Saccharomyces cerevisiae S288C: one gene and its partners. Changing the gene in region 3 together with the main gene of any one other region gives a genetic interaction. Each region holds a gene or a part of one and is shown on either strand. Other genes may lie near its edges. The genes, in order: VPS68, YBR284W, AUR1 and HFA1.

The links.
Region 1: mutations in AUR1 (region 3) and VPS68 together harm fitness more than expected from each alone (negative genetic interaction), as found in Saccharomyces cerevisiae (one large-scale study listed by BioGRID).
Region 2: mutations in AUR1 (region 3) and YBR284W together harm fitness less than expected from each alone (positive genetic interaction), as found in Saccharomyces cerevisiae (one large-scale study listed by BioGRID).
Region 4: mutations in AUR1 (region 3) and HFA1 together harm fitness more than expected from each alone (negative genetic interaction), as found in Saccharomyces cerevisiae (one large-scale study listed by BioGRID).

What each region holds. Positions count from the first base shown.
Region 1 is NC_001147.6:73,609-80,479, reverse strand, and holds VPS68 (Vps68p), read right to left. Parts: upstream 2,921-6,871; coding exon 2,366-2,920; downstream 1-2,365. Other genes in the region: 60S ribosomal protein uL23 RPL25, read right to left, coding at 120-132; serine/threonine protein kinase YGK3, read left to right, coding at 1,001-2,128; Mg(2+) transporter ALR1, read right to left, coding at 3,501-6,080. UniProt on the Saccharomyces cerevisiae protein: Involved in vacuolar protein sorting.
Region 2 is NC_001134.8:769,650-778,052, reverse strand, and holds YBR284W (metallo-dependent hydrolase superfamily protein), read right to left. Parts: upstream 6,815-8,403; coding exon 4,421-6,814; downstream 1-4,420. Other genes in the region: APM3 (Apm3p), read left to right, coding at 1-41; YBR287W (uncharacterized protein), read right to left, coding at 199-1,482; APE3 (aminopeptidase Y), read right to left, coding at 1,740-3,353; HAB1 (Hab1p), read right to left, coding at 3,697-4,131; SSH1 (Ssh1p), read left to right, coding at 7,638-8,403.
Region 3 is NC_001143.9:434,079-437,638, reverse strand, and holds AUR1 (inositol phosphorylceramide synthase), read right to left. Parts: upstream 2,060-3,560; coding exon 854-2,059; downstream 1-853. Other genes in the region: mitochondrial 37S ribosomal protein bS6m MRP17, read left to right, coding at 147-542; BYE1 (Bye1p), read left to right, coding at 2,762-3,560. UniProt on the Saccharomyces cerevisiae protein: Catalytic component of the inositol phosphorylceramide synthase which catalyzes the addition of a phosphorylinositol group onto ceramide to form inositol phosphorylceramide, an essential step in sphingolipid biosynthesis.
Region 4 is NC_001145.3:676,828-688,530, forward strand, and holds HFA1 (acetyl-CoA carboxylase HFA1), read right to left. Parts: upstream 6,738-11,703; coding exon 366-6,737; downstream 1-365. Other genes in the region: YMR206W (uncharacterized protein), read left to right, coding at 1-10; ERG12 (mevalonate kinase), read left to right, coding at 7,640-8,971; YMR209C (uncharacterized protein), read right to left, coding at 9,084-10,457; MGL2 (putative carboxylic ester hydrolase), read left to right, coding at 10,689-11,703. UniProt on the Saccharomyces cerevisiae protein: Catalyzes the rate-limiting reaction in the mitochondrial fatty acid synthesis (FAS) type II pathway. Responsible for the production of the mitochondrial malonyl-CoA, used for the biosynthesis of the cofactor lipoic acid.

The DNA of each region.
Region 1 (6,871 bases), on a different chromosome or scaffold from region 3:
TCTTGTCGTCGGATAGTTTATTTACGTGTGGTTTTCGTATCTCATCAATATCAACTCTACTAGTTCCCATCTATCTTCCTCTCAATTTTCTCGTGCTATTAATATTGCAGTTCACATACCAGATGGAGCCATTTTATCTTATTGATCTTCTTTGTTTAGCCTTTTCAACAGCAGAAGAAAAGCATATGAGATACATTTAAAATTGTTTTAAAATAATTTTAAAAGATAATATCTAAAAGATTGTATGCATACGAACGAAGTTGCATTGGGAAGCCCCAACGCAGTGAGGCAAGCCGAAGGTAGAAAGAAAATCCCCTTGTGCGTCCAGTGAGAAACAGCAAGCAGTGGGTAGGAAGGCCCAGTTTAGCCTGACTGTTCCAACGGGGCTCCCAGGCTGAGGAAATGCTTCTCTCCGTAATGGGAGAGCCTAACTCCAGAGCGTGGACTTCGGCTCACGGTTTTCTCTTTTTTTGGCGCACAATGACTGCTGAGACAAAAAAAGAAAGCAACTCCATGTAAACACCCGTACATATTAAATAAGTGACCCATGCCTCCTCATCTCTTCATTGCAAAGTACGGAAACCGTTAGATTGGTACCAACAAGGTTGCTATATCGGGCATACAAGATAAGAAACTTAAAGAACGCCGAGACAAGAATATGTAATGATAAGCCTCCTCCGGGGTGTTAGACTGATTAGTACATGTTTACCGGATAGCTCTGCTACCAGTTTAAAAACTGTAATAATAACAATAAAAAATCTTGCAGGGAGGGGTTGATAATCTTATCCGAATAGATTATATTGACAGGTTTTCGTATAGTCTGTGTGACCCTATCTGTTTACGTAAAGATCTCTTGCTCTCAAATAGCAAGCTTAGGGTTTATAAAGAGGTGTCGTTCTTCGTTGTGTTGATACAGTACGTACATCGATGAGGACACTAAAAAACAAACAAAAAAAAAGAAAATACTACATACATTTTGCTTTTAGCACTAACATACCTAATGCTTAAAGTGAATAACGTTTTCGGGAGCAACCCCAATAGAATGACAAAATTGGAGGATGAACACTACTTTATCGATGACATCGTATCGATTAAAAACAGACAAAAGAGCAAAATGTACGTCAGGGAAGGGAAACGGATAGGCCACGGCTCGTTTGGAACTGTGACACAGTCCATTCTGTCGAGCAATAGTATTGAATGGCTAGGACCTTATGCCATAAAAAGAGTAGTGAAATCTCCCAAAGTACAATCTTTGGAATTGGAGATCTTACAGAATATCAGACATCCAAATCTGGTTACTTTAGAGTTCTTCTTCGAGAGCCACTGTACTACCAAGGACGGTGGGCACTTATATCAGAAAAACTTTGTTATGGAATACATTCCTCAAACCTTAAGTTCTGAAATTCATGAATATTTTGACAATGGTTCTAAGATGCCTACAAAACATATCAAGCTGTACACATTCCAAATACTTCGAGCACTTCTGACCTTACATTCCATGAGTATATGCCATGGCGATCTGAAACCGAGCAATATATTGATTATACCAAGTAGCGGTATTGCTAAAGTGTGTGACTTTGGCTCGGCACAGCGACTGGATGATAATACAGAATTGAAGACCTATTTTTGCTCGAGGTTTTATAGAGCACCTGAACTTCTCCTAAATTCGAAGGATTATACAACTCAAATAGATATATGGTCGCTTGGTTGTATAATAGGCGAAATGATAAAAGGCCAGCCACTTTTTAAAGGCGATAGCGCTAACTCACAACTGGAGGAGATAGCTAAACTATTAGGCCGCTTTCCTAAAAGTTCTATAAAAAATTCTCAAGAGTTACAGGATAGCTTAAATGACCAAAAATTCAAGAAGTTTATGCATTGGTTTCCCTCTATAGAATTTTTTGATGTGGAATTCTTGCTAAAGGTGTTGACGTATGATGCCACTGAAAGGTGCGATGCTAGACAATTGATGGCTCACGAATTTTTTGACGCGTTAAGAAATGAAACCTATTTTTTGCCAAGAGGTTCGAGTATGCCGGTTCACCTACCAGACCTCTTTAATTTTAGTGCATCGGAGAAAAGGGCTCTTGGAGAGTATTACAACTTGATTGTGCCATCTCTGGATTAGTTGCTGATTCTTACCTCATTTTTGCATTTGCCGTCATCTTATGTTTCCTTCTTACCACATTACTTGCATTTTTTCTCAGACTGTCCTTTTATGTGAAACATTACAAATATATTGGAATGTACATACTCCTATCTAAAAATCTTTTTGTTTTCGAAAAAGTGTTGATAAATACATATATACGTTTTTTATCTAAATCAGATCGCCTTAATTGGCCTCGAAAATATTGGTCAACTTAACTTAGAGCGTCAAAGAATATGAATATTCATCTTCAACATTTTGGGCTATCCATAAAACAACGCAACTCAATAATATGCATACATTCCCCAACACATTGTTTACTCCCATCCCCAAAGTTGGATAGGTATTGTAATCCTTGACTAAAAATTTGATGATCAACACGACAATGGAGCCTGATAGCCCACCAGCTAATAAAGCAAAGCCAAAAAATAAAACGGTTCGAGCTTGCCATGCCATGCTTGAATCTAAATCGCCTACACCACTACCGAAGGCACCACCATCTGACGATAAAGCTCCCTGCAATAATCTATTCTTTTCAATAGAATTCACAATCAATGTTCCCAGTGTGCTGCAAAGAAAAGGAATCCAGTCAATGAACGTAACATGAACATCTGATGCATTGGAATATCTAGAATAGAGCACTGCGTCTAGAAATATCCAAAAGCCTAGAGCATAGAGAGCACCTGAAAGATAGACCCCACCTTTTCTTATACCACGAAAGGTGGGAATCTTGAAGGGGAAGCGAAATAAGCTAACATGATCATCTGCCTCCATGATGATGTGATTTTCTAATTGATCTTGTAGTTGGGGATAAAGAGTTCTGACCTTTAACTATATGCCCTATACTTGCCTTCTTTATGAAAGGGGCGCTGCACATTATTATTTCTGATTTAGTGAATAAGGTAGGGTAACAAATTCCAGAAGAGAATCGCAGTTCATTTTTACGAAAATGGTCATTAACAAAAGGTCAATAGTAGTATATATCAAGGTGAATGATCTTTAAATGAGGTTTTACTAATTTTCCTAGTTAAATATATATATTTCACTATCGAATGATTGACCGGATTGTACTATTTCTAAATAGGAAACGCCAAACTCAATAAACGAAAAAACATACAAAAAATGGGGTAAAAGATAATACTATTATCTTTGCCCAAGAGTGAAGAGTTAGAATACAGGTCCACTTGTTCTGGGTCTAACGTTCTTAAGCATGACATGGTCATGGAATGATTTTGGAAACTGCTGCCAAGGTCACGGCTAGATCACTAAAATTTAAGTGTAAAAAATGTGAAACGCCAAAATCGTAGATGCACGCCTCTGTGACTTAAATCTTCTATCTTTATCACATCACTAATCAGTCGTAGCGGCTATATCTACTAGGAAGACTTGCAACTGATTTGTTTGAAGGACCGGCTCTTACATTTATATTTTTGGAACGATCATTGAATCTCTTGTTTCTTTTTGGCAAGAAGCTCGAAATAACCGATTTGGCTCCACTTTCAGCGGCCTCGTTAAGTGTTGCAGGAGGGTCTATTCTTTTAATCCAATAGCTGGCCAAGAACCAACCAAGGACGGCCAGCAAAAGCAGCACACCCAATATCCCAAACCACCACGCGATACTGGAATTCTCCCCCGGAACTTTAACATTCATACCGAAAAGACCAGTGATAACATTTAATGGAACTAGCATTGTACCTATCATGGTGACTTTACCCAACATTTCTGTCACTTTATTATTAGAATTAAATGATTCCACTTGCAGTTGAGCTAAGTAGTTTGTATGGGATCTAGAAAAAATTTTTTCGTACGCCAGCAAATTTTGAAACATTGTCAACAAATGATCTTGAATATCACCCAAGTATAGGGCGATATCCCCCCTCGGTTGTGATGTGGTGGGCGCATAATTATTTGGTACAGTTGTCGAACTATTATTTTTGATATGACTGGCGTTATCCTGCCTTGCCTGTAAGTTAGCAATATTTATTTGAGATGTTAGTGCCGGTCCAATACCATTAGCTTCATCTTGGCATCTTTTGGCAAACATTTTGATAACATCAGCCTTACCACTAAGAAGTCTCATCAACGTCATTGTCTTACGCCTACTTTCACCAATTCTTTGTAACATTGCTGCAAAATCCATGTCACGAGCCATGAACACAGAATCTTCGATTGCATCTGCTTCATATTCAATAGATTGAATTACAGGAGCGAAACTATCAGTAATGTCATCGATTAAAGCATAACATAACCAATCTGAATTGACATTGACATAGTCACGTAACTGTCTTACACGCCTTCTGACATTAGCACAATGAGATATTGGGCCAAAATGGAATGTTAAAACACCTGACCTACAGACAACAATGTAAACGTTAATAGGTTCCAGGAAATCCTCTGATTCTTTATCATTTTCAAAGGTATGGAAACAAACGAAGTAATACGATTTGAAAAGTTCCACCTTTTCACGTGTTTCTTGCATTCTGATATCTTCTGCAGTCAATGGATGGATACCAAACGCCTTTGCTATGCAACGCATTTCATCATCAGTTGGACAACTACAATCTAACCACCATGTTGGCTCACCTCCCCTGAATAATTCATAGAATGTTTGTCCCTCAGACACTAAGGAAGGGATATCACTAGCATGAACGGTTTCATCAGATTCGGAACAGAAAAAAGAAAATCTATTAGGAATTTGAAAGTCTGTACCCTGGTAAGAGCAATACGCCGGGTCATTGGATGGAATGTTTTCATTCTCTTCCCCTTCAACTTTATTTTTACCGAAAGATATACCAGGGTGTAAACTAGGCTTGATTTTCTCATGCTCGTCTTCCTTCTTTTCATGGATTTCTGTTTCATTGGTACTCTCGCTCTTTTCACCAGTCTGCGAAACTCTTGGTGTATATTTTAGGGCAGCTGATGATCCCGAAGTGGAAGTAGAGCTGGTAAACCCGATATCCTGAGAAACGTTACTGTACTTCTGTTCGTTGGGCACTTGCAGACTTGCCAAAAATTGACTCTTCTCCGCGTTTGCAAACTGAGCGTACTCTTCCAGTTCATCGAAATCTATACCGTTAACTCTGGTATGCAATTGTGGTGGCATAGGGAAACAAACATCTTCTTCCGTCTCTTGAGAATCTCTCGACGCCTGTGATACGTCACTATCAAAAGAAGCTCTAGTATTCATACGTACTGGTTTTCTTTCCAATGTATCATCATCTGCATCCGATTTTTGGGATGTGCTTTTCGTCAGTAAAACTGCGGGATTGATAGATGAATGCGCAGATGTGGTAGAATATGTCCTCTTCTTGGGTTTAGCCAGCTTGGAGTGTGTATCAGATTTCGATTCGTGTGGGATCTCAAGAACAGGACTGACCAGCGAAGATTTTCTAACCTTCGTAATAGGACTTGCCGAGGAAGATGCGCTCAGCTTGGATTTGTTACCTGATGATGCAGTAGAAGATGACATAGTATAGTCTCTCTTTACACCTACATCCTTTGGTGGTGTGTGTATATTACTTTCCACATAAAGCTGCCTTTGATGTGGCATGGAGTGGGCTAGTCTGGAAGGCCTCGCGTTAGAAGTTAAAATGGCAGATGCCCTCAATTGATGATGAGCAACCGTTTCATCCATACCCTGCCCTTCATCTTCAAAATCCATGCGGCCCCTACTGGGTACGCTTCCCACATCCACATGGCTGTTGTATCTCGTTGCACTCTTCTGCTCCTTAGGAATAGAAGGTTTAGTGGACTTAGCAATTTCCTTGTTCTTCAATGTTGGAGGTTGGTGACGGACCGGCAGTGAGTCAGGGTGCTGCCTATGGTCGTACAATCCCGTATGGTCTTCTGTTTTCATGGAAACCATCGTGTTAGCCAGTGAGTTTGACCGCGATAAATTAGGCGATGACTCTGATGAACTTGAGGATGATGACATGGTAAAATGCTTTTACGCTTTCTAGCAATATTCGATGATCTTTGAGAAGAAGTAATGGTATCCTTTTGTTGAATTTATGTTCAACTAACAGTATACTTCCATGTAGAAATATTTTATATAATACCTGTCTCTTGTCAGGATGATATTTTTCTTGCTTATAGAAGGAAAAACTCAACTAATCAGGGCACTCTTTCTAATTTTGAGTCTATATTGAAGGATGGCCTTGCACACTACGTTTTCTACTGTTAAGTCAGTTTATCCAGAAAAAGAAAAGTGTTCATAGGATAGGAACGTACGTTATTATGCATAATTAGTTCGATGGACCATGTTCCAGAGAAAATTTTAATTTCAGATATCGTTTTTGTATCTCAAAGCGGACGGGCTGAGTAAAAACGTGCTTGCGATATTTGCAATTTTATGAGGAATAAAAAAGAAAAAAGGAGGGGTAGCATTTAGCATATTAAGGATCATTGAGTCCCATGTATTACGGCAATTAAATGAGTAGATGCTGCCAGAGTACTGAAATTTTTAGGCAATTTTTGGCTTTAGTTGTGTCTACCGCCAGTTGAATGGAGCTATAAAACAAGTCTAGGTGAACCTACGCTGACATTTTGAAATTAATCAATTAAAATCAGTTTTTGATACATGCGTTATGTAATCCTTAGCGTAGAAGACCCTACTTGTTTCCTATAGAGGAAAAGGTTGTATATTTTAGAGATTCGTCCATTCAAGGGGTTGCATATAGGGGGGACATACTATAACGGAAAATACTAGTTCAAAGCGTTGCCCTC
Region 2 (8,403 bases), on a different chromosome or scaffold from region 3:
AGTATAAGACCCAGACAGGCAATTTTCAAGTAAGGCTGTAGTTATATGTGTACTTGAAATTCCATGCGAAACTAAATAGAATATAATGAGAATATAAGTCTTGGAATAAAAAAGGAATATAAAACTATGCTAAAAAAAAAAAAAAATGAATAAGACTTTCATTCATGAAGACTCTATACAAAGGAATGAAAAGTTGTATTAAGTTGGGTTAGCCCACTGTAAAACGTAAATTGCACCTGAGACAACAATAATACTTACAGGCAAACTTAAGACAGCGTACCCCCAAAATAGAATATCGGCCATTTCTGCCTCGAAAAATTCATTCAGTTGAGTGATTTGAGTTAATTGAATGGCAGGAGGGGAAACAGTCAAAAGAAAACCGACAACAAGGAAAATTGGATCGTCCAAAATACTCACGTTTATGTACTTAACAGCAATAGCAATAATAGGCAAAAGGAAGCAAGAAGGTAAAATCATTCTTCCGATGATGGAGCCGATCAATAACTTGCTATGGTGAACCGTCTTAGGGAAGACTTCCGCAGAAGGATATAAGTTAGAACCGAGGACAACCAGGATCAGTGGGATAGAAACTGAACCCAGCTGCGTAACAGCCTCGGCAAATGTGTTATTGATAAACCCATCTTCCATAAATAGCTCTCTCTGCAACGGACCAATTGCTGCCACAACAACAGCAAAAATCATGGAATATAACGGAGGATTAAGGTTCGCTCTGATTCTCTCAAATACAGTGCATGATTTTTGCCAAATCTTATCACCGATGGAACTCGAACTCAAAAAAGATGAGTTCATTCTGTTATTTTCTTCTTCAAGCAATTCTTGTTCCTCTTGTTCCTCATTGACAAGTTCCTCGTTATCAATGTTGGGCGTCCTTTCCAACAAAGATTGCACTTGAGAAGGTGGCATATGCTGAGTGTTCTCTCCAGACCACTTCATTAGCTTATTGTAACCCCAGCTCCACCTCAGCATTTGTCCGATTTGTTGAAAGATCAGCAAGTATAAAATACCCCTTGATGCAACGTTATCTCTGTTATCATTAGGAATTTGGTCCCAAGTTAAGTTGGGCAGAGTGTAAGCCAAAGATAATGTCAAGGACACAGGTAGAGAGTTACTGTTACCAAAGACAGAGTTTGCCACCACAAAATTAGTTTCATCTTTATCCAAGTCTAGGATACGGCTCATTATCTTTCCGGAAATAAATGAAATACCAGTAGTCAAACCAAAAAAAATAGGAATGATGGCTATTTCAAAGATTTTGGCCATGGACAGGGATTTGGCCAACTTACTAAAAATAAGACATGGTGTAAAAAGGTCCACGTTCAACAGAGAAATGATTTTTTGACTTTGTTTGGGCAGCAGACCAGAACTAGCGCTCCAAAAACCAGCGAGTGCGATAATGACTACCTGTAAAACGGACTCAAAGACCAAATAAGCCAAATGAGCAAAACTAAATGTTTCAACCATATAGTAGAAATGCAGAGTAATCTATGAGGGTATGGTTAGTTGGGAATAACAAACCAAAAACGGGCTTCACACATATTGTTCAATTTACAATAATTTCCTGTTTAAACTTTTATATCACAATTTCAGTTTTTTTTTCTACCTTTTTTTCACTTTGATAAGGAGGCTGTGATCCCCTTGATGCACGTGCAGTTAAAAAAAAGAGGGTTTTTATTTTCTTTTAGATAATTATACAGAAATACTTGATGTGAACAGTACACTTAAATAATCAAGAAGTCGGCCCTGTACTTAAATTGTGGTTGTTGAGCATTCAATATGTCCACCTCTTTGTGCTTTTGGGTTTCTCTTTTTGGGAAACCCTCGAAAGAGTCAGCATAGGTGGCCACAGAGTGAGCAATCAACTTGGTGTTGGTAATGAATGCGTCCCAGGATAAGTTAGAGACATCATCACATAATTGATGGTAGCATCTGTCTAAGACCTTTCCGTTGTTGACGTTATTCTTTTCGGCACCAGTGGCAATACCACCGGCTGGAATTCCGTTGTTGATAAACCCGACATAATCGGATCTACCGTCAAATGGGACCAAAGTGTAGTTCAAGTGATGAGCCTTGTAGTAGTCTACGTACAGGTTTTTCAACTCTTCAGACCCCTTAGGGTTCTCCTTGTTGTTCGCATCATAAATTTCGTATTCATAGTTTGGAGAAGCCATCATGTCATAGTCCATAAATACTCTGATCTTGGAGTTTTCTTCTTTGGTCAAGTTATAAGCGTAGAAGTTAGAGCCTAGCAAACCTTCTTCTTCAGCAGCCCACCATGCAAAACGGACCTTGTTATTGATCTTGAAATGGGTCAATTGCTTAGCGACGTTCAATAGGGAAATAGTACCGGAACCATCGTCGTTGATACCTGGGCCCTCCTCAACAGAGTCTGAATGAGCACCAAGGGCAACAATATTATCAGGATCACCGTGTTTTGTGTCGGCAATGATGTTCTGGGTCTTGATAAATTCTACATAAGAGTCCATGGCAAAATATAATGAATAATCGATGTTCAATGCAATATTGGCAATCAATTTTTTACCAACTTTATATGGAACACCGACGGTGGCGACAGTGTGCTTGGTAGGTTCGCCTAATGTACCGTGTAGTCCTTCTTTAGATTTAGGTTCGTTGTCGTAAATGACCACAGCGGTGAAACCGAACTTACCGGCCAAATTACTCTTATCGCCAAAAGGACACTTACCTCTTTCGATAAGGGCAATTTGCTTTTCGTTGTGTCTTGGTGGGACTACAGAGGCGTAATCCTTCTCTTCACATCCCAAGTTAGGAATTTCGACTAGCTTACCTACGAACCCGTCCACAGGTGGAGAAAGTGCGAAAGCTGTAGTGTTAGCAAAGCTTTTACCGGTTTCGGCGTCAGAGAGGTTGAAAGAGATGATCTTACCGGATAAAGCTTCGAACTCTTGCAAAGAAACATCATAGTAGTCCTGCATGTCATCGAAAACATTCAATATGTATTCCATAGTCTTGTTATGACCCTTGGACCCGATCACACGGGTAGGGTGACCGTAGTCAGGAGTAGAATAGTTAGCTAAACGGTAGAGGTCCCAAGCAGTAGCATTCAAATCGTCAACTTTGATTTTATCTTGCAATTTTTCACTTTCTACATGTGGTTTCATGAAGTAAGGAATATGTGGCTTCGGAATGTTGGCAGCAACGGCAGAGCTATCATCGTCGTTTAATTGCGGAAGATAATTCTCAATTGGCTCTTCTTGTTGAAAGGCTTCCTGGAAGAATTGAGGAATGACATAGGCAGAGCCTAAATTGGTAGCGTAAAACGCAGCGACAGCCAATTGCTTCAAAGAAAAGTGCATGGTTGGCGTTTCTGTTTTTTTTTTTTTTTTGGCTTCTTCTACCAATTGTTGAAAGGCTGAACATGGTTTTGTTCCCATCCATTGTTCCTCGCTTTTATATTGAAAAAAGAAAAATTTTCCTAAGGACCCCTTCTTCCTGAGGGTTAATTTAAGGGAATTCAAAGTGTGTCAATAGTAATTAATAGAACTAATCAATATATTCAGTATAACTTTTATTATTAATAGTATATGATATTACTTTTTGAACTATATATTTATGGAAGCACAAAAACATAGAGAACACTCTTTCTGACGATAAGAAAGGTGATTATATCAAGATATATAATGAAGCAGCTCAATTGTCTTATTTCTTGTATCTCAAGTAGCTCCTTCTAGTGCTACACTTTAGTATTCTGCTTTGTTTATCATCGAACCTATCAAATTCCACGGAATCCTCTGGTGAATATGTGTTCTGGTGCCGTGTTGAGTTATCGTTATCCAATTTGTGTTCATTGGCGACAAGGCCCTTTTTCAGCTCATTCAAATCTATGCAATGATTATTAACGCCTTTCTTATCAATGGCAACCTTACCCAAATTGTTTCTGTTTCTAGTCAGGATTGTAGCCATTTCTCTATCTGAAATGTCCGCCTCCATGCTATCGTCAGTGGGGCTTTCTAAGGATTTTATGTTTATGAAACCATTGTTTTCATTGCAATAGATTATTTCAATGGGGGAAGGCTCTTGCTTTTTAAAGGAGAATAGACTATCAAAATATGAGAACCTAGAAAATATGGTCATTGTCAACTATAAGCGAGCTTAGAGATTTCGAATTGTTATGTTATAAATGGAGTGATAAGACTCTTGTTTGAGGCTTGGGCTTTTTGATTTATATTAAATTAAGATATGTAAAAAAAAAAATAAATTAAAAAACGTGTGTTCTATTTACAGTATCTACTTACTTATTTGTTTATATATTCCATTAGTTTACTTATCTTTATCCTTAACCTTTTTTTTTTGTGTGTGTGGGGAAGGGCGGTACATAATATTAGCGTCACAATATGCGCCCCTCGAAGAAACATGAGCGAATTCACGCAATTATGAGTCGCCACTCCCCTGCGAGAGTGCTACTGCGATATTGACGTCTGATGATCGGAACGTTATGCTCTAAACTTGTATTTGGTTTACAATCATACCACTTGTCTACAAACCCAGTGTTTTCCACGAAGTAGTCATGGCTGGCTAAGGAAACGCCGAGCCATTTGTTCTTTAGGGTACTTGAAAATCCACTGGTTATGACACTGTTTCTTAGAAGTTCGCATAAATCTGCTGAATGTAAACGGTATATACTAGCCGCTACACTATACTCTTCTATAATGGGTTCTTTCGTATACGAATTGTTGTAGAGGATAGATTCTGAGCTCAGCGATATCTTGAACCCCATTTCAAAAAACTTCATGAAAGGGTTCTTCTTATAAGGCTTTGAGGGCTCTAGGACAAGCCCCGTCGGGGCTTGTTCTTGCAGCATTGTAGGCTTTGAATCTACTATGGAATTCAAAGGCGCCACAACCATGGGAATTTGACTTAGATAGAAAAGATACACCAGTGATGGTGGTGCATTCCAGAGATTTTCTGCATTTAGAAACCCTCCACAGGCGAGCAAGAAATTGTTTAAAATAGCTTCCGTATGTTCTGTGAAGTTCAGTGTATTACTAAACTGTGAAGTTCGATTCATTGAGGTGGGAGAACATGAACTTCTCAAAGTGAAGGTATTTTGATGAAGGGCTTGGCGGATATGGTTCAATTTTGTTAGGTTGACGTAGACGTAATACATATATTGTGAAATGGTTGGATTATCACCGCCAGATGTCCAATCTTTTGGCAAGCAACTAACTGCTGTGAAGTTTTTCCAAATATAGTTGTCCGTATCTTGAATACATAGATCAATCGAAGATACTTGAGAAAGAAATTTCAAAAGAATAGGTCCTAATGACTTGTGTAGATAATTTTCGGCATTGAAAAGTGGTTTGAAGATTAGATTTAAATACTCCTGAAAATTCTTCACCTTGCCAGTATGATACAGTTCTGGATAAATTCTAGAAATGCGAATATTCCAGCGAATATTGTTAGAAAATATATTATAGTGGTTCAGCCAATTGGCAAAGACCATCCACCAATTGTCCACATCGGAATTATCGTAATGCAGATAAAATTGGAAGTCCACGGAGAGTTGACATAACTGATATTTCGACTCCTCTTGCGGTTTTATTAAAAACGTTTTCAGTAGTTCCGCTAAGTATTCACCATTAATATAGTTATCAAACTCCAAAAATGTTTTCGCAATCAAATAGTATCGAAGCTGCTTACCGTGTGAGCCTGTGTGTATTTCCATTTCATCGTTAACCAAATGATATTTTGCGAGATAAATAACTTTATACCACTCCAAAAATGAATCGTCAATAATTTTCAACCCATTGAAGAACTGACCGGTCTCCTCGAAATTCACTTTGAATAATTGGCTCAAGGTTATATGACTACCATTAAAAGCTTGATGGATAACCCTGTCCGGTTCTTTTCTCAACTTGGTCCAAATAAACTCAGTCAATTGCCACTGTGAGAAACAGCCGCTTAACAGAAGATTCAGATCAATCTTTCTACAGTTGTAAAAATCCTTGTGTGGCACCTTTTTGCTCTGTCTCATTTCTTCCTTGGAATGTAGGTGTTGAAAAACTGGAAACTTATTTACAAGATATTGTAATCTTTTTTCGCTAAACCTTGATAGGCTTCTATCTCTTATAATTTTCAAGCACCATTCAAAATCTTCCCTAAATTCTTTAAAAGTGGGGATATTAATCTGACTGTTGAACAATTCCGTCATATAATTACCATCCTGGAGGAGGTTTACAGTATTACTTTCCTCTAGATCAAGAAAGTGACGTATTCCAAATAATTTTTCTTTTACAGGTTTAAGATAACCCCCAGCCACTCTTGAATGAAGCTGCGGACATGACAAAGCATCTTGTTTACTTATAGTTAGATAATTTCGCCTTAACTTAGACATTTCCAACAGGCATTTGCGGTCTATGCGGAAATGTGTTTGCTCAAAGAAATAGCTAGGAAGGTGAGCCAAGGATGAATATGCTAGATCTTTTGTTTTTAAAGGTTCGACAGGAGGTGGCGTTTCTGCCGGCATCGCCATGGGTGAACCCATCTCCATCTGCATATCGAACTTCGTATTTAGTGGGACCATATCAAGATCATCCAAATGCAATACTACGTCAGTATTACTATCCTCGAAGATTTGAGCTCGAGGATTTCTTACTCGAGCTTGTGATGTAATTCCTACGTCCCCGTCGAAAGCTAAACCCTGATCCGACACAGCGTCATTTCCATCCAGGTCGTCCAAGCGTATTGGTGAAGTGGAAGGGCTCTCCTTATAAGAGTCGCATTCAACGAAAAAAACCGATTCATTGTTCTGTACCATTGTTTGTGTGATACCCTGATAAGTCCTCCTTTTCCTGTACTATTTACTAAAGATGTCGCCTGTCCTACTTATACTGTTTGTATCCACTGAACGCGGGCGCAAACTCTTTGCCACCCCCGTATTTAGCCGCCAACGATATTTTTGCGTCCAATGATAATAACCGTTGATAGTACCGAAACAACAGAGAACAACCATCATACACTCATGCCAAATTATAAGAACAGACACTGTTGAGACTGTTAACGATATTCTTTCATAACGTGAAACATAAAGTTGTTGAGATACCTTTCTTTTTATTGCTACCGGCCACTTTGAACTACATTACAAGTTATATTCGATTTGCAGCCATATATGTGACTTCAACTGCCCTGAATTGCTTTTCATAATGCATAAGGACTATCCTCGTCTTAGGTTTAATCATTCCTCTGTCTGTACTTAATGCAACCATGTAGAGGGGCGCTAACGATATCATTAGACACGGTAGGATCTGTATCACTTTACACGCTTTCGTGGCAAAGAAAAGAGCTGAAAAAGTGAAAAAAAAAATGTCGGGTAGAGAGCAAAGCGGAAGCAGGGTTTGTTTTACACCGACAAAATAGTTATCCTTTGTTCGCTAGCTACCACAGTCTTGATAGATGTCATTTGGTCCTTCATTGAATTAGTAAAAGTTAATAAAAGTAAGATCGAATACACTGCAGAAAAGCTTGCTCTTTTTTTTTTCTTTGCTTGGGTTGGGTGGTTTTTCATAGCTTTATTGAATTGAATCCATTACTCGTACGCATTTTTTAGCACATTTGCCCCCGCCACTCTCCATTGTTTTAGTATGTCTGGTTTTCGTCTAATTGATATCGTTAAGCCTATCCTACCGATTTTACCGGAAGTTGAGTTACCTTTTGAAAAATTACCATTTGATGACAAGATTGTCTATACTATTTTTGCAGGGTTAATTTACCTTTTTGCACAATTCCCACTTGTTGGTTTGCCCAAAGCTACCACACCTAATGTTAATGACCCCATTTATTTTCTAAGAGGTGTATTTGGGTGTGAACCAAGAACCTTGCTAGAATTTGGCCTTTTTCCCAACATTTCTAGTGGGTTAATCTTACAATTATTAGCCGGTTTGAAAGTAATTAAAGTTAATTTCAAGATCCAAAGTGATAGAGAATTATTTCAAAGCTTAACAAAAGTTTTTGCCATTGTTCAGTATGTGATTTTGACCAACATTTTCATATTTGCAGGTTATTTTGGTGATGATTTATCTGTGGTACAGATCGGGTTGATCAACTTTCAATTGGTCGGTGCTGGCATATTCACCACTTTGTTAGCTGAAGTCATCGATAAAGGATTTGGATTTTCTTCTGGAGCTATGATAATCAACACTGTGGTAATCGCCACTAACTTGGTGGCTGATACTTTTGGTGTTTCTCAAATTAAAGTTGGCGAGGACGACCAAACCGAAGCCCAAGGTGCCCTAATCAATTTGATTCAAGGTTTAAGATCTAAGCACAAGACATTTATTGGCGGCATCATCTCTGCATTCAACAGAGACTATCTACCAAACTTGACAACTACTATTATAGTTTTGGCAA
Region 3 (3,560 bases):
TCTATCTTTTCGCAGTTATCATCTAACCCGGAAAAGTTTCAACAAGACTTTAGCCTTTTAATGGAAACTCCCACTAGTTCAGCTTAAACAAAATAGAAAAGCTTCAACAGAGGAAAGAATAACGCAAAACCACCCTTTTCACTAAGATGCTTTATGAGCTGATCGGACTTGTTCGCATAACCAACTCCAATGCGCCAAAGTTGGAAGCAAAAGAATTGTCTTCCACAATCGGGAAACTGATTATTCAAAACAGAGGTGTGGTGAGGGACATTGTACCCATGGGCATAAGGTATCTTCCTAAAATAATGAAGAAAGACCAGGAAAAACATTTTCGAGCATATCACTTTTTAATGCTGTTTGATTCATCAGCTGCGGTACAGTCTGAAATTCTAAGAACTTTAAAGAAAGATCCCCGTGTCATAAGATCATCCATCGTTAAAGTTGATTTAGATAAGCAGCTGGATAGAGCCTCATCGTTACACCGTTCTTTGGGGAAGAAGTCTATTTTAGAATTAGTGAATGAAGATTATCAATCCATTTAGGTATAGCGCACAGGTTTTGACTGGGGACGCTACAAACACATGTAAATACATACATATCTTTCATACACATATAATAAACAAAGCAGGAAGAGCATTCTAAAAGCCTCACTTAACATAGACACCATTAAAAGCCACCCATTTATTTCAAAAATTTATAAAATTCTAAAGATAATCAGTGGTATGTGATTAAATAAACTACATGTATATTATGCTAAACGACAATCCTGACTAAGAAAAAGAAAGAAAAAGATATATATTTATATGTATCTACATAAGACCAACCGTATCCGTAATTGCAGATAAAATACTCATTAAGCCCTCTTTACACCTAGTGACGTTATAGACGTGGCGGACGAACGAGAAACAGAAGTAGATCCATCAAATAACGAAGGGCTTACACTGGGTTCATCAGTCATATTAAGATCAAAGTCAAGTTCCAAGTTGGACAAAGGGACACTTTCGATATCGTTTGAATCTGCAGCCAATGGATCACTCTTTGATATATCGTATTTCTCAATTGAAGTGTATGACCATCTGCAAAAAAGAGATGTATCTACAATTGGTAAATGTGTGTACTTTGTGTACTGGAAAATAACGTATGACAGCACAGAACCTGCCATAAGGTCTACAAAATAATGGTGTGTCAGATACATAGTTGACCACCATAACCAGCAAACATAAGCAATAAACAAGGGCTTCAATTTTGGAAAACAATAACAGAAAAACAGGGCTTCCATAGTAGCACACCCGGAATGCAGTGAAGGAAAAGCACCGAAAATGACGGAGGAATTTGAAAAAGCTGTAGTATACATATTAATACCGAGTAGCTTATCAATTCTAGCTAATCCACCAGGCGAGCCATGCATATCATAGTTGGCTGATTGCAATCCATAGAGAATTTTATACCATGGGGGAGCGGCTGGAAAGACATTTTGCATGATAACACCAAACAGGTTCATATAACCAAATGCAAAAGCATAACCTTGCAAAACAGTTGGTGGACCAAATACGAATAAGATGGCAGCAACGACAAATGGGGCCCCAAAATGAAATAGTCCGTACGGTAACCATGCTAAAATGTCCAAAAAGGAATTCGTCGATGTTGCAAGAATATCACTTAAATTGTCGCCGTATAAAATTGTTTCCACCGCTGGTAACACTTTGACAGTAATAGGAGGCCTGCGGTCATCTGGAAAGTACGATGAAGTGAAATACAGCGCCACCCATGTTAGGATGGGCAAGGCATTGAAGAAAAACTGTGACGTAGCTGGAATGATGAATAAAGTGCCCAAGAAACAATAAAAAAGGATCTTGAAGATCCAAGGTGCGGGATTAGTAATGAACACAAACAGCATGATGGATCCCAAGAAGATGTAATGCACCCAGTCGCTTAAAGCGGGTTTGTATTTTTGCACCTTCAACAACGTTTGATGGGGATCTAAACTTGTTTCTAAATCGGCTACATGGCAGTTTGGAGGTCTCTCTGATAGAAACCATCTCGAAAAAGGGTTTGCCATACGCAAAGGAATGATTAAAAGCTTTTTAAAATATGAAAACCGCAACCTGTAGGATATAAAATAAAGTACTTTTGGAGAAAATTCAAAGATCCTTGGGCCAAAAGCTATACCCAAAGTAGCTCAGTGTGAAAAAGGAAAAGGATAAACTTATGAAGTACTTAACAACAACCAAAAGTGAGCGATCGGACTAACCAACTACCTAAGAGATGTAGCAGTAGAAATCCTACTCTGTTGGTTCACGAACAAAAGTCGCTAGTGTTCTTACGCTATGGTAACTGAAGCAAAAAATACGCCTCTGCAGTAGTACCAAATCAGAAAACCACTTTGTAACAAATATGAACACTGATGGGCACTTTATTATTCTTTGACAGAAAGAAATAAAAAAGCGATGACCCGCCAAGCAATGAAGTTGATATTCTTTTGTTGTGGTTTTTTTAGCTCATTTTTGTTTTTTCCTTTTTTCAGTTTTAGGATCACTCTTCACGAATAACTTTTCATATCATTTCTGGGAGCTGGGGAGAGATGGATACTATTTCACAAGACATGCAAAGGGATGCCCAGACTGCAGTTTGGCCAAAAGGCTTGCAATGAAAGAGGATAGGTTGACGAGATCTTAGTATTTTGACTTGTTCTATACACAGGGAGCTATCGATTATCCTAGGTTCTCTTTTACTTTTAGCTTTTATTTAGTTTAAATTTATTATGTCTGTCCGTACTTCTTCAAGATCTAATAAGGGTCAGAATAAATATATTGAGTATTTGTTACAGGAGGAGACTGAAGCACCAAAGAAAAAAAGAACTAAAAAGAAAGTTGATTCAGCCATAGAGAAGAATAAGAAGTCTGATTCTTCTCAGGAGCCAAGGAAAGATACTGAAAATGTAAGAACAGACGAAGTAGACGAAGCGGATGAGGGCTATGTTAGATGTCTGTGTGGGGCGAACAATGAAAACTACGATGCTGCAGAATATTCGCATGGCGACATGGTACAGTGCGATGGCTGTGACACTTGGCAGCATATTAAATGTATGACTGATGGTAAAGACACCATAGATGGGCTAATGAGTGAAGATTCTAAGTACTACTGTGAATTGTGCGACCCATCATTGTATGCACATTTGGAAACGTCAAAGGAGGCAGAGGTTTCAGAGGATGAAGATTACCATGATGATGTTTACAAGCCCGTAAATGACCATGATGACAATGATGCAGATGTCTTTCTTGATGAGGAAAGCCCTAGGAAACGAAAAAGGAGCCCCGATAGTGCCAAAGGAATTCATATCAAATCCAAACAGGTGAAGAAATCCAATGGGTCAAAAAAAAGGAATAAAAGCATTGATGCCGCCAAGTCTGATACTGCCGAAAACGAAATGCCTACTAGGAAAGATTTTGAAAGCGAAAAAGAACACAAACTGAGGTATAATGCAGAAAAAATGTTCTCTACCTTATTTAGCAAATTCATCGTTCCCGAAACAATTGAGGCAAAACTTTATGAGCTTCCTG
Region 4 (11,703 bases), on a different chromosome or scaffold from region 3:
AACAGGATAGTTGATTAGAAGACTATAGCTAAATAATCATTTCATTGGGAAATGACTATCACGATTTAACGAATACCCCCTTTTCTCTTTCTTGCCATTTAATGGTCGTCGCTCTGATATTTGCACACATACGCTCACGTACATAGGTACACGCAGATGGGACAGGCGCATAAGTACGCGCTAATACATGTATTGATATAAGTTATGTTTTTATTTATCAAAATGATATTGTTGCATTTTTTTTTTTAAATCTCACGTTATTTTTCATTTATATACATACACTTAAGAGAATGTCAGATTTTCTCTTTTCGGCCACCATTATGGTATCTAAGCGGCTATTTAACTTACTTGTTCCTATACCGAAACTATCTCTTTCGCTTACTGTCCACCAACCTAGTTAGCTCTTCAAGGACAATGTTTCCCCTTCTGTCTTCAAATTTTTTCTTAAGCTCATCGATCAACAGCGAGATCTCAAACTCTTCAATGTTCTTGTCAATTTTTTTCGAATTTCTTTCTATGAACTCCACTACTGCTCTGTCATCATTAACATCCAGATCGTTATACCATGACTGAACTATTTTCAACAGGTCGTCGTACTTCATTTTCGTTTTGTTATCACATGTTTTTTTTTGCAGTCTTTTGATCACTTGTCCCTCGTTCAACCTCCTTCTCAGTCTCCAATATAAAAATCTGCGTGACTTTTTCCATTCCAACTCATTTCGGATTACTCCTTTAACTAGCATCCTAGTCGATCTATCATGTAAATCTGCAAACTGTATGCTGATTTGATTGTAAATTGGTATCAACTGTCTCTCTCTTATTTTCAATCTCTTCGTAAGATCATTTTGTTTTTCCAAAGATAACTTTTTTTCTGTCAACGTTCTTCTCAAATGTCCATATGTGGAGTCTAATCGAATCATCGTCTCTATCATTTTCTCCTTACGGTATTTTATGCTAACTACTCCGTCAGGTTCTAACACACCTCCCCTAGATTCAACATCGGCATACATTTCCATTTGTTCAGGATTAATAGTTGGATCTATAACAACCCATGATCCGCCCCTTAATTCACCAAAGGGCGGAATGTATATCAGTATGGGTTGTTTGTAGTCAACCAGAGCGTCAACAATAAAAGACCCGTACTTTAGTACTTCATTGTACATATCCCTTTGACCGCCAGAAAATCCCCTCCAATTGGCTAAGATAATCAATGGTAATTGCTCACCATAGTTAAAATCATTTATAGTTTGAGCTGTTTTGAACGCGGAATTTGGATACCACACCTGTCCTGCTTCTTTAACGGAAAACTCTGAAGAATCCAGATTAGCTGGGTCAGCGGGGATTATTTCTTCGATAGTCTTAGTTTCTACCGCAATAACACCCACGGGAATACCTCCAAGACGTGCTCTTCCAACTATTACACCTTTGGCCCATCCAGATAATGTCTCAAAAAACGAATCCTTATCAAATAGGCCTGACTGGAAGTTGTTATTTGAGTCCCATTTACCCTCTATCAACCACCTTGCCTCATATGGCACTTGCTTGGCAGGTTTGAAGTCTACATCCCTATCCCATCTATCCATAGTTTCAAGAAGTGGAGGACTCATATCTCTTTTCGCCGGGACATATGATAACCATGTCATTATTTTTTCGATGGCTTTCATATCATTACTGGCTGTTAAATGCGCTATTCCGTTTTTATACATGATTTGGGTTCCGCCAATTTGTAGGTTAGATGTATAGATATCGGTACCCAAAACTTTATTAATCGCCGATGCACCCGTCAGTATGATAGGCTTATCCTCCACCTGAATAGTACGTTGTCCTAGTCTGACCAGATAGGAACCTATACCAACGGACCGACAAGTAACAGCAGTAATAGTGAAAATGTCTCTATACGCTTTCGAAGTGGCACCAGCAATTAAACCCGAGCCCTGTAAACATTCAACACCTAAACCCTCTTCGAATCCGACTATTGCTTTAATAATATATCTCTCTTCACCGTATACCATCTTGTGTTCAACAACAACCGAATTTCCTTTCCCAGAATCTTTCAGTAGCTGCATGTCTTTTGGAGCTAAGTATAAGTACTGGAAACCCTTTGTTGGATCAGAGGGGTCATTCCATGCTACACGAAATAGAGGGATCAGCTCTTCGGCTATACCCAATTTAGCTCCTGAATTCGCCGCCAAGTATATCCTCGGGATCCCTCTCTCTCTTGCATAATTTGTGACCCTATCAAAAAACAAATCTTCTCTCGGTCCAAAAGATCCAATATTGTAGGTAATATCATTAGAAATCACGATCATGTTACGCCCTTCAGGATATTCAGGTGTCTGAACCATAATCTCAAAAGCAACCATCCCTATATTATTAAGGCCTGGCTCCCTGTTTACTTTTATTAAATTACCGTTTTGTTCTATCAATTCAACCCAACTAAAAAAACTGTCATTCAGCTTATGTTTTGGAAAATACCTTTTCCACTGTTGGATTGCAGCTTGATGAAACAGACCTGGGAAATCGTACACATATGTTGTACCCATGAATTGAGCTTTGTACCTTTTAGGTTGTAGCCAATCCTTGACCGAGTAAGGAAGAGAGAGAGATTTCTGGCTATAATGGCTCTGCTCACTACACGGTTCCAAAATCAGATTCCCATTTTTCCCTATCTTTTCGTAATATGTCTCAATTTTTACCACATACCCAGATTTATTAGAAATAAGTAATCTAAGCGGGGCTGGCTTCTTTGTTTCTAGGCACTCAACAGAGATGCAAATTTCTACATCTGTGATTCTTTCTTGAAACAATCTGGTTTCGTGAGTCTTTAGAATTGTACTCACAATTTCCTCGAGACGATGTACTGGTATGTTAAGAACTGTATTGAAACTTAAAAAAATATGATTCAAGTCTGAATTTGAGATGTCAACTGCTCCTAGATGTTCTAACATATAAACCACTTGAGCATTGATTTCCGCTTTCAAGTTTTCTTCGGTTGTTTTTTGATCATTATACATGAAGGAATTTATGATTTTCCTGACAAAGAACCTTTTATCTAGCGGCGTAAATTTGCTAATACCTTCAAAAATGCGTATACTACTATCGTATGTAGGTAGTGATCTGATTTTATAGTTCGACATTTTTCCTAACTCTAACGGTGCTTCATAGGATGGATCCATATTTCTTATTTGAGAGATTTCATCGTACGTAGTTCCATCAAAGGAGTAAAATTTAACAGCGGGCGCATTCGCGGCGATAAATGCAAATGTAATACGATTAACCTTGAGCTTGGATAGACCTCTCTCATTTTCATGAAGTTTAATTTTTAAAGTTTTAATTAGATCATTTTCACTTCTGTAACGAATAGGAGATAAAATATTAACAATAAGAGAGTTCTCTCCGCTGGAAAGTCTTTCCTCAGGAATATGAATTTGTTCGTATACCTCGTCTAATGTCTTTTCCAGAGATTCAAGCGCACGCATGTTGACAAGAAGACCAAAACTATTTGCTGAGCTCTTACCTGATGTTGAGGGAGGTTTAGAAAGTTTTGTAAACTCATCACTCTCACCATCAGAATTGACTAAATAATTTCTTAATGAGCTGAATTGCCATGACATTAGTAAATCAGGCGCTCCTTTATGAATCTTAATACTTTTTAATTGATAATTGCCGTAGGCATACCTTGCATAAATTTCAGATGCTATACTGGAAAGAGCCGTATCTTGATGGCCAAAAAAAAAGAACAAATCCTGAAGTTGTATCAGATTTGAATGTATTAAATTACCAAAATCCCTCATACAGGAATATATGTTCCTGCTGTGAATGTTTTCGGCACCAGTATCCTTTATGTGCAATTGCAGGAGAGTTTTAATATGCTCTTTTCTTTTCTTTATGGGAGGGAAAATCCCTCTGAGTAGCACTGATCTTGCCTTTACAGCAACCTCTTTAGCCCACTTAGATTCCAAACTTGCCAAATCATGTATAACAGCCCTGAATTTTAAAGACATCTTAGAGGAATCCTGGCACAATGGCTCGTATTCATGCAATATTGCAGTTACTAACTTGTTCTTTGCGACTACGTTAGCATGCGATAAACTTATGCACAAAATTTTTTTCAAGTTTGTAAGGTCTTTCCTCCGCAGATTTAGTAAGTTTCTTTCTTCATGTATATCATGATTTTCAAAAATTTTCTCAACAGCATAGTACTTTTTAATCAACTTTAAAAAAATTTCACATTCGTGATTAGCTAAACCTTCGCTATACCTTTCACTAATTTTAAGAAGTGGCTGTAAGGCAACATAAACTACATGATCATTTGTATTTTCTTCCAAGTAGCGCTTCATTAATTTGTGCAGTTCCTTTGCAGGAAAAGAAACAGATTTCTTGACTAGATTTCCCAGCCCCTCATTCAATTGCCTTGGTAGTCTATTGCGTACCGTAGAAATTTGGGAATCCCATTCTGAATAAGGAAGCCTACCATCTCTCAATATTTTTATCAACTCTTTTAGAGTAGTTTCTATTCCAGAGTTTTCATGATATCCATTGAGAATATTTTCTAACCTATTTATTAAGACTCTGAGCTTATGGTTTGGTCGGCTACCCTCTATTAGCGGTGGACCTAAAACAGGTAATTCTCCGCGGTATAAAGACGATTCGTTAGCTTTGGACGGCGAATCCAAAGTCAATTTTGCGATGACATCACCAGCCTCAATTATGGAACCGGGCTGTCTTAGTAACTCAATTACACCATCACTTTTCGCTACTAGTGGCATCTGCATTTTCATTATTTCTATTTCTGCATATTGCTGTCCAGCAAAAACGTGATCACCACTTCGGACCAAATATTTCACCAATTTCCCCGGAGTTGGAGAGATCACTTGAGTGGGATTGAGTTCAGCTTCTAAAAATATGGTATTGGAGTCTATCGAAAGTCTTGTACCTCTGATATCGTCCTTCCAATAAACTGTATGGCATTTACCGTCAACGGAGATCAACAAGCAGTCACTGGACAATTTTTGAACATTAACTTCACATTGAGACTTATTGATAGAAAGAATAAATTGTTCTTCAGATGATTGAGCAACATTGAACAAGTATCTATTATTATCGAAAATGAAGTCAACAGGAAACTTCGTTTTAAGAAAATCTTTAGGTGGAACTTGGCCCCTCCGCAATAATTCCAAATACTTATTCCTCACCTTTTCTGTGAAAACGTATGCTTTCATTGCGGCACCACAGATAATAGCGAGCGTTGGATCTAGTTTGCTATCGGAAGATAAATTTTTCAAAATCAAATCATCTAACCAACCAGTCGATATGTTATTACTCTCAAAGTCCCGAGTTTCTAATAGCTCTATCAGGTACTCTATGGGGGTTTTGAATTCTCCTCGGATGGAAAAATCTTTTAGAGCTAAAACCATGTTTTGCTTTGCATCTTGCCTATCGTTTCCTACAGCAAAAATGTGCCCAAATTGGGAATCTGAAAATGAGTGAATAGCACCATTATTTCCTACTGAGAAGTAACCCCAAACATTGGAAGAAGAACGAAAATTGAGCTCATGTATTTTCCCAGTGGAGGGCTTGAAACCTTCATTAGGATCTTCTGAAGTGATCCTGCATGAAATACAATGGCCTTTTGGCGAGGGTCTCTTTAAATTTTTAAAATCAATATACGAAGTTCCCGTTGGATCTAAACCATAAAGTTTTCTGATATCACTTATCATGTGCATAGGAATGCCCATGGCGATTTGCAGTTGAGTGGCAGGAAGGTTTACGCCAGATATCATTTCTGTCGTTGGATGCTCTACTTGTAGTCTCGGATTCAGTTCTAAAAAGTAAAATTTATCATCTTTTGGTGAATATAAGTATTCGACAGTGCCCGCAGAAACATAACCTACCAATTCACCTAGACGAATTGCTGCGCGTTCCATCCTTTGAAACGTTTCAGGCTTGGTTATTGTCACTGGTGCCTCTTCTATAATCTTTTGGTGCCGCCTTTGTATGGAACAGTCTCTCCCAAACAATGTAATGTTAGTGCCATATTGGTCAGCTAATAACTGTACCTCTAAGTGACGAGCATCAGTGACAACTTTCATAACAAACATAGGCGACCCAGGTGTCTCATTCACTGCTTGGCGATATAATGCAATAAAATCATCCTCATTATCTACTCGCCTAATGCCCTTACCTCCACCACCTTCGGATGCCTTAATCATTACAGGAAATCCTATTAATTTAGCCTTTTCTAAAGCATCTTCAGGTGAGGAACAACATCCCCTTACATATACATCATCCGGCACAGATACAAAGTTCGTCTTGTTATCGATATGGATAGTGTCTATATGTGAACCAGACCAAGGGATACACGGGATTTTAGCGCTTTGTGCTACAATAGTGGAAGAAATCTTGTCACCCAATGATCTCATAGCGCGTCCAGGAGGACCAATGAATAGTATTTTCCTTTGTGAACTAGCTAACAGCTCAGGAAGACACGGATTTTCAGAAGCATGGCCCCATCCAGCCCAGACCGCATCCACATCCGTTTGCTCTGCCACGTCCAGTATTAAGTCTATGTTGGCGTAATTGTTGTTGTTGGTACCCCCTGGTACCTGCACATATTGGTCTGCCATTCTAATATACTCCGAATTTGCGTGTAAATCATCAGGTGTCGCCATTACCACGAATTGAATGATTTTTTCATCATTGAACGTCTCGTACGCCCATTTTCTTATAGATCTCATTTCTTTCACCGCAGCAATACCATTGTTTGCTATTAAGATCTTTGAAATAACAGTATGTCCACCACGTAAATCAACAAAATCTCTTAATATTGAAGGTTGGGCACTTTCCACAGTATTTAGCCCTATGAACTGGGGCGGTAATCGAGTATGTTTATGAATATTGCCTCGATCCACATAATTGGAATACCTTCTTCTAGATGGAAAATTCAAACCTATTCGAGATGAATGCCTATACGAATGGGCAAAAATGCGTTTTCTGTATTCAGGGCGCTGTCCTTTCAACCGTACTATCTGGCTGCCCGTTATATTATAGAATCGATAAGGATCCAAATATAACGCGAGCTTGTACTGTCCTATTCGAATGCAAGTAATTGTGAATATGGTAATGTAAAAGTGAGAATGTATCCGGCGAGCCCCCCAGCTTTGGCCGTGTGTAATTGTCTTCCCTTTCTACCCAAGATGACTTCTTCTTTATCATTCTTCATTATTCATCTTTTCTTGTCATCTGCCGCCCACCCATTTTAGTTACCCTAACGGAAACATTGATGAATGATGCTATTATTACTGTCATAAGCAATAAAAAGAGAGGTTCCTACTACTTCTCCCGTGGAAAGCTAGCGATAGCCTTGTACTCTATCTCACTTTCAGAATGCGTACACATTTATGTTTAAAGAGGCGTTTTGTGCTAGTTTTGTCTCAACGTGTATTTTATCGGTTGTAATTGTACTGACAATTTTCGGGCCTCGTTTGGCTGTCGCACTGAAATCTTCGACAGGGTATCGAAGAACGATACAACGATATGCCTATAAAGGTTAGTTAGCCATGATATTACTTCCTGGTTAGCTGGTGCGCTTCTTAGTCCTAACTTGCAAATTTATATCTACGTATAGAAAACTGTCAATATGTCATTACCGTTCTTAACTTCTGCACCGGGAAAGGTTATTATTTTTGGTGAACACTCTGCTGTGTACAACAAGCCTGCCGTCGCTGCTAGTGTGTCTGCGTTGAGAACCTACCTGCTAATAAGCGAGTCATCTGCACCAGATACTATTGAATTGGACTTCCCGGACATTAGCTTTAATCATAAGTGGTCCATCAATGATTTCAATGCCATCACCGAGGATCAAGTAAACTCCCAAAAATTGGCCAAGGCTCAACAAGCCACCGATGGCTTGTCTCAGGAACTCGTTAGTCTTTTGGATCCGTTGTTAGCTCAACTATCCGAATCCTTCCACTACCATGCAGCGTTTTGTTTCCTGTATATGTTTGTTTGCCTATGCCCCCATGCCAAGAATATTAAGTTTTCTTTAAAGTCTACTTTACCCATCGGTGCTGGGTTGGGCTCAAGCGCCTCTATTTCTGTATCACTGGCCTTAGCTATGGCCTACTTGGGGGGGTTAATAGGATCTAATGACTTGGAAAAGCTGTCAGAAAACGATAAGCATATAGTGAATCAATGGGCCTTCATAGGTGAAAAGTGTATTCACGGTACCCCTTCAGGAATAGATAACGCTGTGGCCACTTATGGTAATGCCCTGCTATTTGAAAAAGACTCACATAATGGAACAATAAACACAAACAATTTTAAGTTCTTAGATGATTTCCCAGCCATTCCAATGATCCTAACCTATACTAGAATTCCAAGGTCTACAAAAGATCTTGTTGCTCGCGTTCGTGTGTTGGTCACCGAGAAATTTCCTGAAGTTATGAAGCCAATTCTAGATGCCATGGGTGAATGTGCCCTACAAGGCTTAGAGATCATGACTAAGTTAAGTAAATGTAAAGGCACCGATGACGAGGCTGTAGAAACTAATAATGAACTGTATGAACAACTATTGGAATTGATAAGAATAAATCATGGACTGCTTGTCTCAATCGGTGTTTCTCATCCTGGATTAGAACTTATTAAAAATCTGAGCGATGATTTGAGAATTGGCTCCACAAAACTTACCGGTGCTGGTGGCGGCGGTTGCTCTTTGACTTTGTTACGAAGAGACATTACTCAAGAGCAAATTGACAGCTTCAAAAAGAAATTGCAAGATGATTTTAGTTACGAGACATTTGAAACAGACTTGGGTGGGACTGGCTGCTGTTTGTTAAGCGCAAAAAATTTGAATAAAGATCTTAAAATCAAATCCCTAGTATTCCAATTATTTGAAAATAAAACTACCACAAAGCAACAAATTGACGATCTATTATTGCCAGGAAACACGAATTTACCATGGACTTCATAAGCTAATTTGCGATAGGCATTATTTATTAGTTGTTTTTAATCTTAACTGTGTATGAAGTTTTATGTAATAAAGATAGAAAGAGAAACAAAAAAAAATTTTTCGTAGTATCAATTCAGCTTTCGAAGACAGAATGAAATTTAAGCAGACCATAGTATCCTTGATACATTGACTCATAATCAGTTAAATAGCCATTCAATCCCTTTGAGCTATCAACTTCATATTCCTCCACAAGGTCCTTCCACCCGCGAATTTTACGCAGCCGACTTAATTCATCTCCTGTAAATTGGACCAAGGGTTTGGTGCCATACTTTAATGGACCTACATTGACCCAATGCAGCTCTTTACAGTATTTCTTTAGTGCTTCAATACTGGATAGATATTCAAACATATTTTCCGCGGTATCTATGAAATATGCGCTACAAATGATAATTTTATCATAGTCTTTGGAAATGGGAGAATATCGTGTGAAGTCCCCCCATAGTGGGTCCAGATTACTGCGGTGGCCAACTTTGCTCAAATCTGCCGATAAACTTCTCAACTGATTATCAAACACTGTCTGGCATGAATATTGTTGTACAAAAGGACGTATCTTAACGTCATGCTTATATTCGAGTGCAAATAGGTTACATATGTACATCAAGGCTGATAATTCGATGGAGTCCACCTGTATTTTGGGGAAAGTGGTGGCAAGAGTATGGGATAGGCCACCCACACCAGCCCCTGGGGTCACGATAAGAATTTTCTCTTTCATGTCCCCGGCACTAATCACATGATGGTTGATTCTACTAATGATAAAATTTTGTAAAGGATCTCTTTCCACACTATAGTAAGAGCTGAAATCACGACACAAATGTGCTAATGCTTCATGGACCACACTTTGGCTGCCTCGAGACGAAACTATTGGAAATACGAAGTCAGGATTCAATTGAATAAGGTGACCATCTTTAATCTTATAGCCGTGTTCCGCGCATATCTTTTCAATTTCCTCTGTAAATTCTTCATCGTGTTCGTTGGAATGAATCAATTTCCCTAAAGTGAACTCAATTATCTTGTCAATAACTCTTGCGTTTTCTCGGATACCCTCATTATTTTTCATTAATTTGGTGAAGTAGCCTAATTTTTGCAACTGATCTTCTGAAATTCCATTTAATTGTCTTGCTCTCCGAAATAAAAGGCCATTATAGCCTTCTCCTCTTGCTCGATACTCATGTAAACGGATTAAATTCCCCGTAAGATCAGGAAGAGTGGGAATCTGATAATTAATTTTAGAAAGATTCGATTGATCGGCAGATATTGATTTCTCAACATCAACCAATTTTAAGGAGGGCGATAAAACGCTGACTTTTTGGGCCAGATTTGATTTTCTTGATAATAGCTTTTCAACATATGATACAAACCACCTCTGCAACGGCTTATTTTGCCTTAGCAGTGTCATCAGGACTACCACAAGGGCTAGAATTATATTTGATGCCAGTGAGCTAACCATTGGCGCTCCTCAACTTCGTATATCAATATTTTTACCTCTTCTATTTCCTGAAAAATTTGTTAATTGTACAGCATCGTTTACGTTTTTTTTTTTTTACGGGTCTTCTTACCTAACCCCGAAAAGTATTGTGGATCTTAAAAGGGTCTCAATTATTTGAAGTTCGATAAAAACCAACTACTTTGTTATTTTAAAACTGTATTATACAAACGCTGGTAAACTTCCAGAGACGATATGCGTCTAAAAGAATTGTTACCTAATTTTTTGATTGTTCATCAAGAGGTCCCTGAGGATCCTATTGCATTCAAGTCCACCGATAAACGAGAGAATGAAAATAAAGAGATCACCATCCCTGAGCTAATAGATACTAAAGTTCCTGAATTAGCTGACGGTGCTACTGACACTTTATATGGTTTACTGGTCAATGGCCATTTACAAACTGCATATGGTTCCTTTAGACACTTTGACAATATATACAAAGTTCAATATAAAAGAATGATAATCAAATACCCACATGGGGGAGAAGGGACTGTGGATTTTGCTGTAAATGGTAGAAGTACCAAAAGAAGAAAAGTGGAAAAAGAATACGTGCCGACAAGTCAACCGGTATTTAACGGAAACTTGAAACGAAGATATTCGTACTATTCCCCTGATGATCCTAAATTGAACTCAGACGATGCTAAGCCTATGCTTATTATTCTCCATGGATTAACAGGGGGTTCGAGGGAAAGCTACGTGAGGGCAATTGTTCATGAAATCACCACGAAGTATGACTTTGAAGCATGCGTGTTTAATGCTAGAGGATGTTGTTATTCTGCAATTACAACGCCGCTATTATACAACGGTGGTTGGACCAATGATATAAGATATTGTGTTAATGACTTGAGGAAAAGATTTCCGAATAGAAAGTTTTATATGATGGGATTTTCGTTAGGCGCATCTATAATGACAAATTACTTGGGAGAAGAGTCAGATCGTACTAAAATCGAATGTGCTATTTCCGTGAGTAATCCATTTGACCTGTACAACTCTGCATATTTTATTAACAGTACACCAATGGGGTCACGATTTTATTCACCTGCTTTGGGTCACAACTTACTACGCATGGTTCGAAACCATCTCTCTACTCTGGAAGAAAACCCTGATTTCAAAGATGTTATCGAGAAGCATTTAAAAAAGATTCGCACTGTGAGGCAATTTGATAACTTGTTGACAGGCCCAATGTTTGGATATAAAAATGCAGAGGAGT